Daphnia pulex: one gene and its partner. The protein of the gene in region 2 binds, or shares a complex with, the protein of the main gene of each other region. Links are inferred from orthologs where the notes say so. Each region holds a gene or a part of one and is shown on either strand. Other genes may lie near its edges.

Region 1 (6,297 bases), on a different chromosome or scaffold from region 2:
TGGTTTGCTCCGTTCACCAAGATTCTGTTCAAGGCGAGGCACATCACGCATCCGGAGCCGAGTCTGTACGTGTCAATGAATTGGAGCTGGAAGTGGAACGGTTGGCTAGCCGCTCTGAGCATTTGCGAGCTCAAAATGACGTGCTTTCGATGACACTTGCCGAGTCTCGAGCTTTGGGCGAACGTCTCGCAGTGCTGCTCGGTATTCATATTCGATAAAAGAAATGCTGAAATAGATTTTTCTATTTTTTATTTTTGTTTATTCATGCAGGCAAATACGAATCAAATTGCATGGCGTTACGCATGGCACTTGAAAGAGCCGATAGAGTTTCAGAAGCATTTGAAGTTCTAGCTGCCTTAGTAGAAAGCGAAATGTCTCTTCTATTGGCCAACTGCCAAGTGGCAGGACTAGGGTTGACTGGCCGTAGTGGAACCGCTTGGGAAACGGAATCAGGTGGCAATAGTAAAGATCTTAGTGTGCTTTGGAAACGCGCTACAGAGCGCAGGCGTTCGGCTGAGAATCTTGCTCGATCCCTCTTGTCAAAATACGATCGTGAACGAGACAATTGGGAGGACACGGGAAGACACACAAAGTACTTCAAAAAATAAAAAAATTGTCGGTCTTCAGGACTTATAATTTTCTTATTCCATTTGTTTCTCGTCTATCTTGTAGTACAACAAGCTCTACCTCAAGTGGAGCGGAGAGTGGTTCAGGATCGGGATCCAATCCAGCTTGTACTCTGGAGCCCACAGAAAGGAAAGTACGAGATATAATCGGCCGGTTGAAAGGTAACATATTTTGTGCCCAGGCTTACTTAAGCAAATTACTTAATCATTTTCTCATTATCTTTTGTAGGTGATAGATCAAGCTTGGAAAACACAGTTCAACAAGTTTCGCTTCCCCTGGAGTCAGTTTTGGTTGATCCTTTGCCTAAAGAAGTCTTACCTTTGGCTGAAGCTCGGAAAATTGATCTAGAGATGGCCGTCATCATGCAGGTGAACATCTGCTTTTGTATAAATGAGTAAAAATAGATTTAATCCTATCGTTTCTCTAGGAATTGATGGCCATGAGAGAAGAACGTTCACGACTTCGAACTCAGGTTTATATTCTTGAAAAAGAGCGGGCTACTCATGAAGCCCAACAACAAGCAACTGCCGCTCAACTTCGAAGTCTTAACACAGGCGTAGGTTTTTTGGATATTGAAATGGAGAATGATTTAGGTTACTTAAACGCACTTTTCACTGATAGGGATCTAACACAGATGCATCAGGCGAAAAGCCTCTGTCCTCAATTGAAGGAGCTGATGGAGACGAATTAACAGTTCGAGAAAAGCGACTCCAATTGAAAATCCAAGAGTTGACGGGAGCCCTTGAACGCGTCACTTCAAGTGCAGAAATCCGTAGTCAGCAGTCGGCTGAACTAGTTAGCGATGTCAAGAAAGCCAACGCGTAAGATATCTTTAAATGCTTAACTTACAATATGTTACGTTTTCAACAAATATGTAATATCCGTAAACTAATTTTCAGGACGTTGGTCCAACTTCTTGAGAGGACTAAGAAAAAGTACCAATCTCGATTAAAAAGACTAGAGCAGCAAATGGTCAACATGTCGGAAAGACATGCAATGCAGGTATATAGAGAAAAATTACGAGTTATCAAGTGTGACCGACATAAAAATGTCATGTGATTATCAGGTTCGCGTCCTAAAGCAACGAGTTATGGTGCTGGAAGATGAGTCTTCCGTCCGCCCTTTACCTTTAAGTTCAGCCCCAAGTGAGACTTCCCTATGATCTTACCCTTTTTTTTACCCTTCTCTGAATTACGCTTTGCTGTACTCATACGCTTCTTCTCGTTTTCAATTGTGTGATATATAAAATCAGAACGTGCTACTTACCATTTATAAGACAAGCTAATCTGAAAGTGCATGACTTTATACTATTTTTTTGTTTTGTTCCCTTACAACCAAATCTTTTTGGTTGTCACTTACTGAAAATCTCGGATGAATCAATTTCCTGTTGCAGTGTATTATCCGAATTCGATAAAGTAGGTTTACATTGAATTTCATTCATTAAGTGAAGCTAACTGTCTCTCAATTTCAGCACACGCGAGTTCGATTTCGTAGTTTTTAGTGATCAAACCAAACCAAGTGGCTTCCAAATGTTTCATTTTGTCTCCAACCTCTGTCTGATCTTTTTTTCTAGCCCAATTGACATCTTGGATTTGTTTCCTGTAAAGAAAAATATAATAGTGTATTTTGCAATATGGTGTCTACTTTACTGAAATCATACTTAAATTCCTGAAGATGCTTCTGAGATTGTTGGATCATCTGGGACAATACAGTGTTATAAATTCTCCATGATTCACAACCATACTCTGACATTAATTCCAAGTTCAAAATCCTGTTTTTTAATTGAAATTTTTTTAAATTTATGGTTGCTGTAAAATTTTTTTTTAGAAAACAAACCTTGTTGTTTGATGTTCTAATTGAGCCATTGAATTATCAACACACTCTATCCATGCTTGAAGATCATTTAGACGACCAGCAGATGGGGGTGGGAGTTCATATCGTTTCATGCTCAAAACATCCATTGGTTTCTTTTGAGACAGTCGCTCAAATTCAGTCTTCATCAAAGGAGTCTATGAACATGATAATTTCCATAATTATTACACACTCCTATCATTACTTCCATGCAGACAGTTCTTACTTCAAATGCTGACAGCTCAAGTGGAGGAAGATGTTCTAGGTAGTTTTTGGTTGGTCTATATCTTCGTGTCTCTTCATCAACCAATGCAAGTGCCTGATAGAAAGAAATTACTCTCATTAAACAACTATTGGACAAGAGCGAGAGTTCTCAGCAACATACAGTACTATGGTCTAGTACAATAATGTATTGATGTTAGAGATGACTAGGCTAACACAAGAATCTCCAAGCCTCAATTCGAAGCGATTCAAATATTTCAAAGTTTGCAATGTATAAGTTTTGCTTACCGCTTCTCGTAGAGTTGGATCTCCATATTCTTGGTCAACGTATGGTAAATCGTCAACCAAAATCCTTTCGTTCGGCGTGGAAATGTTTGTTGACGGAATCGGCATTTTGTGATTTGTGTCAAACTGTCTGTTGTCAGCAAGATTGTCAGATTTTCTGCTGGATTAATAAATATGAGCCACAGTTTTAGTAATTGATTTTCATTATGTCTAATTATTCATAAACTTACTTTTTGATAATGAATAAAGATCATTAACTTCCTTTAAATGAATAAAATATGAAAATAAATTGGTATATTAAATTTTATTCAATAATATTTTGGACACCGTTGCATTGTGAAACAAATAAAACAATATTAAAAATTTTATAACTAATCACTCCATTAAAATGTTTGAAATCATCAATTGAAACTCCATAATTTTTGTTATTAAACAGTGGATCAGTTCAGTGAATAATCTGTAATTTTTCAAGTAAATAATCAAGTAAAAAACGGAACGTAGAGGGCGGCAATTCTCAAAGTATGCCGGCAACATTGTAGACTTCCTCTTTGTCGCCATTACTGTGGGTCTCTTTCATTCGCCTTTTTACCCGGTCAGGACTATCTACCAAGATGGTAAGCATGAGGTTCTCCAAACATTTTACTAGTTTTTACATACATTAATTTACGAATAGTAAGTAAAAAGGTTAACGGGAGAAACGTGTTTTAAGAAAATTCTTGCGTGCGTATATTTTTCTAAGCCATTTTCTTGTTAATCTATGGCGAAAGTTTGGGAGTAAAATGTTACCCACAGCGTGGTTTCGTCCTCGTGTCAAATGGGCTCTTGCTGTTTTTCTATGTTAATTCAACGTCGTTCTTGGTTTATTGTTATGTTTTGGTTAATTGGTACATCTAGTTCAAAGTTTGTGTAAATTCAAGTGTTGTCTCTTGAAAATCTTAAATCTAATTTGTTTATCCATTTTGTTTTACAGAGTAAGGTGGTCGCGAGGCCGTTGATTACCGTTTACAATGAGAAGGCTGAGGCCTCTGGAACCAGCATCCAGCTCCCTGCAATCTTCAGGGCTCCCATTAGGCCAGACATTGTCAGCTTTGTTCAACAACAAATGTCAATGAATCGTCGTCACCCTTATTGTGTCAGCGAGAAAGCAGGTAACTTGTATGCCAATTATATGGCACACAGCATTGAAATGTAGGAGTAATTGTACGTCAGACTCTTCTTGTGCAGTGTGCAACACTAAAGCGAGTCCCTGAGGCCTTTCTCGCTTTGTTTTCTTAAAGTGAGGGGTTGGGCAACCGGACAAACTTCATACACACATGTAATGGTGTGATTGTTAATCTTCTTCTTTCCTATTACAGGTCATCAGACAAGTGCTGAATCATGGGGTACTGGTCGTGCTGTGGCTCGTATTCCCCGTGTCCGAGGAGGTGGTACCCATCGCTCCGGTCAGGGTGCCTATGGTAACATGTGTCGTGGTGGACGTATGTTTGCCCCCACCAAGATCTGGCGCCGTTGGCATCGCAAGATCAACGTTAACCAGAAACGTTTTGCATTGTGCTCGGCCGTCGCTGCTTCGGGTATTCCGTCTTTGGTGATGTCCAAAGGTAAATATGAGCCAAGATCATCATTGCACGGTTCCATACTAGCATGATGAATATGTGTTTCCTGTGTTTCTGACAAGCATGAAGTCATACCATGAGTCCCTGATCCATACAATGATAGTAGTAAATAAGGTCATATTGAATTAGAACTAAAATGTTTTTACATTCAGGTCACTTGATCAATGATGTCCCGGAGATGCCTTTGGTTGTGTCGGACAAGGTTCAAGAATACAAAAAAACCAAACAGGCCGTCGTGTTGTTGCGCCGTCTTCGCGCATGGACTGATGTCCAGAAGGTTTGTTTCTAGATATTTATGTATAATTATCACGGGAAAATGATGAGTTGCTTCTTGGTCTGTGTTTATGAGTAAATGATTTCACCTTAGAGCTCTGAACAAAATCTGAGTCATGAATGATTTTATGTGTGAACACCGTCTAATTAATCTGATTTCTTACAGGTTTACAAGACCAGGCGTTTCCGCGCAGGTAAGGGTAAGATGCGCAACCGTCGCCGTACCAGCAAATTGGGTCCACTGGTCATCTATGGCAGAGATCAGGGTTTGACCAAGGCTTTCCGTAACATCCCCGGAGTTTCTATGATTTCAGTAAACAAACTGAACCTCATGAAGCTTGCTCCTGGTGGTCATGTTGGCCGTTTCTGCATCTGGACCGAGTCTGCTTTCCAACGCTTGAACGCCCTCTACGGTACTTGGCGTCAGAAGTCTAAGCTGAAGAGCAACTACAACTTGCCTCAGCCCATCATGACCGGAACAGATTTGTCTCGTTTGTTGAAGTCTGATGAAATCCAGAAGGTTATCAGACGACCAAGGCAAGCTTTCTTTTTAATCTTTATTATTGATTAATTAATGATGAAAACCACATTTAGAGCATTGGGTTATGAATCTTTGTGATTAGCAAATTAATCTGAACGCAGTTTATCATTCAAGTGATACTGTCTGGTGCAAAGATGACTAATCGATACAATTTAAATTACAGGAAGATGATCCGTCGTGCATCTGTTAAGCGCAATCCTCTTACCAACATGAGAGCATTGATGAAGTTGAACCCGTACTCCGCCGTGATTAAGAAGTCTGCCGCTGCTGTTGCTGAGGCCCGGAAGAAGAGCAAGACTGCTTTGCTCGAGAAGAAGCGCGAGGTAATTTTGTTTTCTGTGAATGTTTGTATGTCTTAGATAGTTTTTCGTTTGATTTCTGTTTGAATTGTTAAAATTGTATTACCGCATGTGAACGTAACTTAATGCATGCCACATTGTTTAACATGTACAGGCGAGTGCTACCAAGAAGGTAGCTGCCTAGCCTGCGAGTGAGCGCACACAGCATGGTTTATTGAGCTAATCAACAGATGTTTTTGGTGAGTTGTCCATCGTAGTGAGAATCTGATTTGGAAAATAGTCCAAGTTCTAATTTGTATATCCATTCTACAGTCAGTAGTACCCGTACCAAATTTACCTGTTGAAAAGCCGAAAGAAGAAGCGCCCGTTCAAGCACCGGTCCAAGATGTCAAACCAACTCAACCTCCTCCTGTTGAAACCCCTAAGCCAACACCACCAGAAACAAAGAAAAGCAAGAAATCCAAGACGGCTGCAAAGGATTTGCAAGTAGAACCGATGGATGTAACACCCGCGTCCGTTGTTGAGGTGAAGACTGCCCTAGCTCCAGCTAAGGAACCATCTCCGCCAATCGTTACCATCCCTG
Region 2 (6,885 bases):
AAAGAATGAAAAGTTGTTTTCAGGGATACGCATTCTATTGGCTGTTGCCGGTCACGTGATCTGCTCCCATTGTAAAAACTGACCAGAGCTAAGCTAAAACTGGCAGAGCCAGGGAGTCGAAACTTTAAACGTGAATAACTCGTAAAGTAAATTTTTCCCAGCTATAGTTTGATTGGGAGATATTTTTTATTTATTTTTTCTCTTATTTTTAATATGTTTTATTATTTTTTTTTATTTTTTGCGCCATCCCCTATTCAGACAGCATGGAGCCGGAGGAAACCGTTTACTTTCTAAAATTCTAAAAAATGAAGTAAGTTAACAGTTCATTATAAATTAAAATGTTCTCTTACCTTGCATGTAGCTATATGAGTTGGGGGCTGGCAATAACATATGTTCTTTTCTCTTGAAAGACCATAACCTTTCGGCATCCGATAATGGCTTATGCGGTGGCTACTCAAGCTGAAGATTGACGTAAAGGTCTGAAATTACAAAAAAAATTATAATTGAAATATGTAAGAGTGGATGATTAAATAGTTACCTTCCCACAATAATCACATGCGAGAATGGGTGAGTTGGGACAAACTTCAACGCTGGAACTAGGAATTCTAAAGAATAATCCGTCCCAATGTCGCTATGCCAGTATATAAAAGCTCTCAGTCGCCATCTATGATCAGTTTCATTGACAACGTCATTCGTCATTCTATTTTAAAGTTATCGTGTGGTCCTGTGGGGCATCAGATTTTACAGTCATCTGTCATACTTTACAGTCATCATACTAGTCCATCGGCTTGTCTCTTGAGGCAGGCTAGCTTATCGCCCGAACCAGAAGATGGTGACAAGGATGTCGATGTTGATCTCTATCAAGCCGCTGTTCTGATTTTGGCTCATTTGGATCGATTAGCATCTCCATTTATTCAAACATTCAAATCGGTATACTTTATTTCAATTTAGCAAATTCTTTGCAGATTTATTATTTGTTGTACATTGCCATTTTTTAGGATCGCGTAGTTATGGAAAATACTTTAATTCGATTGGATTTGAGCGCCGCTACGGTGGACCCGGGTGGACCGTTTCACAGTAGTCCAGAAACTTCCAATAACGATAGATCAAGTTGTCTGCACAGCCCTTGGTCTCCTGTTTCTTTCCGGCGATGGCAAAGTGTACACAATCAGCTATAACGATCAAGAACCGGTCAGTTTAGTCTTGCTCAGGATGAATTTTGCTTTTTCATTCGTTAGTTTCAAAGGATTTTGAGTCACGGAGATCAAGTGGGCATTGATGTTGGGCATCACGGCTGCTCCTTACCTGTGTTGCAGCGTTTGAAGAACCACGTTATTGCTCTTGCAGGGGAAATCCAAATCTGGGTGCCGTACAAGATACAGCTCAAGCTTTTCTCCAATTGGCTTGGAGTCTTCTTTTGCCTACTGCTTCAGAAAGAGCTTCAGCATTGCCCACACTTTTGCAAAGAGACGACGAATATGATAGTTGTATGTCCACAGAGAGATGCATTTCATTGGCTTGCCATCATCTAAGTTCATTTCGATTTGTCTTTAAGGTGGTGGACGTTTCATGGCCGATTTATTGGTGATTTCCATGATGGCGGACGGAGGGTTACAAGCAGCTTTCGAAGCTTCGTTGCTAGGTAAACCAGATAAGACCAATTTTATTTGAGTAATTTTTATTGCATGTTTTCTATCAAAATTTTCAGCTGAAGCAAATGATCTTGAGATAAACGGCCGATGCAATAACGACGCGGTATTGAGAATAGGGGATGGCGCAAAAAAATAAAAAAAATAATAAAACATACTATAAATAAGAGAAAAAAAAAATATCTCCCAATCATACTATAGCTGGGAAAAATTTACTTTTCGAGTTATTCACGTTGAAAGTTTCGACTACGTGGCCCACCTCTAAAACGCAGGAGGTGGCCTATTTATCACGTGATTCTTGGTGCATTACCGCTGGTCAGTTTTAACCAATGAGAATAGATCACGTGATCGGGGGAACCAATAGAAGCGGGGAACATCTGTCATTTCGTCTGTGTCCGCAAGGTGTCGCGTCAAGCTTGTAGCAATCTAGTTTTTTTACCGCCATGTGGTAAAAGAATGAAAAGTTGTTTTCAGGGATACGCATTCTATTGGCTGTTGCCGGTCACGTGATCTGCTCCCATTGTAAAAACTGACCAGAGCTAAGCTAAAACTGGCAGAGCCAGGGAGTCGAAACTTTAAACGTGAATAACTCGTAAAGTAAATTTTTCCCAGCTATAGTTTGATTGGGAGATATTTTTTATTTATTTTTTCTCTTATTTTTAATATGTTTTATTATTTTTTTAATTTTTTGCGCCATCCCCTATTCAGACAGCATGGAGCCGGAGGAAACCGTTTACTTTCTAAAATTCTAAAAAATGAAGTAAGTTAACAGTTCATTATAAATTAAAATGTTCTCTTACCTTGCATGTAGCTATATGAGTTGGGGGCTGGCAATAACATATGTTCTTTTCTCTTGAAAGACCATAACCTTTCGGCATCCGATAATGGCTTATGCGGTGGCTACTCAAGCTGAAGATTGACGTAAAGGTCTGAAATTACAAAAAAAATTATAATTGAAATATGTAAGAGTGGATGATTAAATAGTTACCTTCCCACAATAATCACATGCGAGAATGGGTGAGTTGGGACAAACTTCAACGCTGGAACTAGGAATTTGACCCAATACTCCCTCAGCCTGATTGTCCTGAAATTTAAAACATGAACATGAATTAGAAAATCATACCCCAGGTAAAAGCATTGTGGATTGCAGATTGCAGGACTTCTTTCCCCTCGATCAACAATGCTATTCACCTAGGGAAGATTGCTGTTGGCAGCTGAGGGTTGGTGGGTGGCTCGACTTCCATGATTTAGAAGGAACTGTGTATATAAATCAAAGTTTACCAAACTTACCTCTAGCGTAGTCTTCTTCAGTTTTTTTACACACATAGACAGGTTCTTTAGTCGCCTGTTAAGCTTCAGGCTGGCCATGGTAGTTCCAATTTTCTTCAACTTCTGGATTTCTTTTGCTAAAGGTAAGTTTGAATGAGGTTAAGAATGAGTTATTACTTTAAAAAATAATGTTACTTACCATCTTTGTTTAGTTTATCCACCCTTTTCTCTATCTCGCCTAAATCCTGGGTAAAATTTGATTCCAGTATTTGGATTGGTATTGGTATTGGTAGGATTAGGTGCGTCTGCTATGTTTAGCAGACATCTGGTCTTCAACTAGATGACCTTCTTGCACCGACGAGATATTTTTTCTATTGATTTTTTTGAGCGATGGCGTGAGCAGTGTAAGTGTTGTATTGTATTGTGTGGAAGGAGCCCCAAGAAGGGGGATGGAAGTACCATCATTGTGTACGATTTGGCGCTAGTGCCTGCCTTTTTAGGAAGAGATCTGTATTGTATGTGTAGTGGTAGTGCCCGGGTATGGGAGCAACTATGCTCACCGGGAGAGTCGAACTCAGGTCTCAAGGTGCTCCCCGATCACCAAGCGACGCCTTATCCAGCTCACCTACCCGCCCCCCCCCCCCCCCAGTATTTGGATATCCATGTCAATTCAGAGTTCAGACGTCAAAAACAAACACTTAAGGAAAAAGGATTGTTTATCGATATTTAACTTTAAATCGATATCCATTGTTTATTTATAATATTTAATTACTTTATGTTATGGAAATTTTTTACAATTCTATTTAAATTATTACACACATTTATTAATTTAAATAAAAATTGTCATAAATTTCCATAAAATGAAGTAAGTAAACAATATATATCGATCCAAGTTAGTATCGATACCGAGACAGACCGATTTTAAAGTTATCGTGTGGTCCTTTGGGGCATCAGATTTTACGTTTCAAAATGGCGCTGTCGAAATCATCAAACACTTATGGACGTACAAGTTGGGAAGATTCGGTAATATTATACTATTTTGATAGTTTAAAATTGAGACTGATACTAACCAGTGAATTAATTTAATATAATTTAGGAGTTTCCAATTCTCTGCCCAACATGTCTAGGAGACAACCCTTACGTTCGAATGGTGAATGAAACTTAACTTAAAAATGCATACGTTAACTATGTTTTTCGTAATTCTTATTCGTAATTCGGTTCCCCTAATTTTTTTTAGATGAAGGAAAAATTTGGCAGTGAATGTAAGATTTGTGTCAGACCTTTCACAACCTTCAGATGGTGCCCTGGTGCCCGTATGCGCTTCAAGAAAACAGAAATTTGTCAGACTTGTGCAAAACTTAAAAATGTCTGCCAGACTTGCTTATTAGATCTTGAATATGGACTTCCCATTCAAGTCAGAGACCAAGCACTTAACATTAAAGACAATATTGCAAAATCTGATGTGAACAAAGAATATTTTATTCAAAATGCTGAGAAACAAGTAAGTTGAATGCTGCTTTGAAATGAATTTTTTACATTCATGCATTTTTATTGTTGACAGCTTTCTGCAACAGATCATGGTGTACCTGGAGCTGCTGGTGGTCCAGGAAAATCTCATCCTCCATCAGATCTTCTGATGAAATTGGCACGCACAGCACCATATTATCGTAGGAACTTGCCACACATTTGTTCTTTCTGGGTGAAAGGTGAATGCAAAAGAGGAGAAGAATGTCCTTACCGTCATGAAAAACCCACTGATCCAGATGATCCATTGGCTGATCAGAACATTAAAGATCGTTATTATGGCACCAATGATCCAGTGGCAGAAAAGCTCATGCGTCGGGCTGCCACTCTTCCTCGTTTGGATGCTCCTGAAGATAAGTCCATTACCACTTTGTATGTGGGTAACATTGGAGAGAAGATGTTGGAAAAAGAACTACGAGATCATTTTTATCAGTACGGTGAAATTCGATCCATCACTATCGTTTCACGACAGCAATGTGCTTTTGTAACATACGTCACCCGCTCAGCTGCAGAATTGGCTGCCGAAGGAACCTTTAACAAACTAATTATTCAGGTACGGACCTTTTACTTTCTGGTTTCAATTCCCCAAAACTTATTCAAATTATTTGAAAATTTAGAATCGGCGGCTTGTTATTCGTTGGGGTAAATCTCAAGGCAAACAGAATGTTCCTGGAACAACAAATACTGAAGCTGGAGCTCGTTTTGAACCTGTTCCGGGTCTTCCCCGAGCTTTGCCACATCCTGAAGAATTGGAGCATAACTTTTTCAATTTAGCTCCTACAAGCAATGCATACCCATCTCCTTATCCTCAATATCCACCATCCACATATCCATTGATCGCTCCACCACCACCAAACCCCACACCAAATCAGGCGGAACTTCCAGTATTTCTTGCCGAAAGTCAGCAGGGCATCCATTACCCTTCTCAGGATCCGACTCGTCTTGGCGCGATTAATAAGACACGACAAACATAACGACAGAAATTTTCAGAATTACGATATGCTTGTCTGTAATTTTTGTATTTCCGTTTTTGAAATTTAAACTCTCACGATAAAATGTCCTGTAATTTATTTTATTTAATATCTATAAGTTTTTTTGCATATAAGGTTTTGCGCTATAAATTGGCTGTTTTTGATGTGAAGTGCTGAATGATTTTTTCAGCCGACGATACACAACCATCGAAGTTCGAATGAGTAAATCCATCCCCACCAACTAGCAGAAGAGGTTCCTGGGAGATCTCAAGTACACCCGGCTGATCTTCATACGGTTTCGTTACCTTAAAAGCAAATAAAATAAAAAGGTAAAATTTGCAAGCACACAGAAATGAAAAAGGGTTAGTGAGAACCTGGGAGTATCTCCATTTATGGCATTTAAATGCCTTTGGTGAAGGTAGATCGGGGAAAGATCGTTTTAAAGCCTTAATCAAAATGTAAAATTCAAAATATAATCTCGGACATTTTAAAACAAAATGTTATAATGCATAATTTACCTCTTTTAGAATAGGTTCCGCTTCTGGGACGGTTAGATCAATATGTTGTACACCGAAGGGGACAGATGTGTGAAGAATCACAGATGTTGGGACGTCAGCTGGATTAACAATATGAGTTGGTAACGTTCGATTCATTCGGCTTGATTAAAATAAAACTTACGCCGATTTCTTCTTAAATTGTCGACTGCGATGAATCGAAATACAGGATCATCTTTTATGTAGGAGGCATCGAATGGTAAATTCAGTTCAGTGCCGTGATCATAATACAAGCTCATTACATAACGTGCACTGTACTTGACATTTTCCAATTTTGTCTTCATTTCATGGTTATTTTCTACAAATTAAAAAGTAAGATTACAGATAACTAAACTATATAAGTTATAGAAAAGATGAACGTTTACCAAGAATGTCTTTTACACTACCCCCCAATTGCAGAATTTGAGGGACAGGAATTGTTAAAATAACCACATCAAAATAGTTTTGCTTTCCTTGAAGAGTTGAAACACACCTAATAATAAAAAGGGATATAGCCAATATATAATTGAATTCTACTGTTTCTACATTTGTTTGCTATGAAATACCATTTCTCATTTATTCTAGTCACACTAGTAATATGGTGTTCAAACTCTGGTTCACACTCGTATTTATTAAGAAAATATTTGACAAGGGAGCTCATTCCATTTGGAGAGATGTAATGCTTGGTTCCTGCTTCATGTTCATGACAATTGTTGATGTTTAATTTGAGTGGCTCTAAAATTCCCACAGACAAAAGTTCTTCATAATACCTATAAAGAAAATTTAAAATTTAAACATGTTTTCAAAATAAATGGTCTTGAGACTTGCTTGCTATGTTCCTTGCCATAATGGGGTGTGCAGGTTATGTATTGTGCCCCTAGATCAGCAGCACACAATTGATTGTGAGGACTTCGGCTTGTTGACATTCGCCCTCCTTGA

Evidence for each region.
Region 1: pre-mRNA-splicing factor RBM22-like (region 2) and pre-mRNA-splicing factor SPF27-like share a complex: the UniProt entries of both Homo sapiens proteins name them as parts of the postcatalytic spliceosome P complex. The link is inferred for Daphnia pulex from reciprocal best matches to the Homo sapiens genes RBM22 and BCAS2.

The regions. Positions count from the first base shown.
Region 1 is NC_060018.1:4,112,605-4,118,901, forward strand, and holds pre-mRNA-splicing factor SPF27-like, read right to left. Parts: upstream 3,277-6,297; 5' UTR 3,216-3,276; intron 3,146-3,215; 5' UTR 3,094-3,145; coding exon 2,989-3,093; intron 2,798-2,988; coding exon 2,705-2,797; intron 2,637-2,704; coding exon 2,464-2,636; intron 2,399-2,463; coding exon 2,288-2,398; intron 2,227-2,287; coding exon 2,061-2,226; 3' UTR 2,004-2,060; downstream 1-2,003. Other genes in the region: uncharacterized protein LOC124189006, read left to right, coding at 1-201, 271-592, 673-788, 856-995, 1,055-1,183, 1,249-1,448, 1,527-1,629, 1,694-1,772 and 7 more. UniProt on the Homo sapiens protein: Required for pre-mRNA splicing as component of the activated spliceosome. Component of the PRP19-CDC5L complex that forms an integral part of the spliceosome and is required for activating pre-mRNA splicing.
Region 2 is NC_060024.1:7,161,540-7,168,424, forward strand, and holds pre-mRNA-splicing factor RBM22-like, read left to right. Parts: upstream 1-3,017; 5' UTR 3,018-3,061; intron 3,062-3,117; exon of another isoform or gene 3,118-3,137; intron 3,138-3,793; exon of another isoform or gene 3,794-3,811; 5' UTR 3,812-3,887; coding exon 3,888-3,941; intron 3,942-4,014; coding exon 4,015-4,068; intron 4,069-4,155; coding exon 4,156-4,419; intron 4,420-4,479; coding exon 4,480-4,995; intron 4,996-5,059; coding exon 5,060-5,416; 3' UTR 5,417-5,498; downstream 5,499-6,885. Other genes in the region: uncharacterized protein LOC124200919, read left to right, coding at 634-930, 999-1,160, 1,239-1,487, 1,556-1,588; uncharacterized protein LOC124200920, read right to left, coding at 1,612-1,638, 2,450-2,578, 2,638-2,733, 2,940-3,017; renalase-like, read right to left, coding at 5,557-5,718, 5,788-5,859, 5,932-6,029, 6,092-6,265, 6,333-6,439, 6,513-6,716, 6,775-6,880. UniProt on the Homo sapiens protein: Required for pre-mRNA splicing as component of the activated spliceosome. Involved in the first step of pre-mRNA splicing.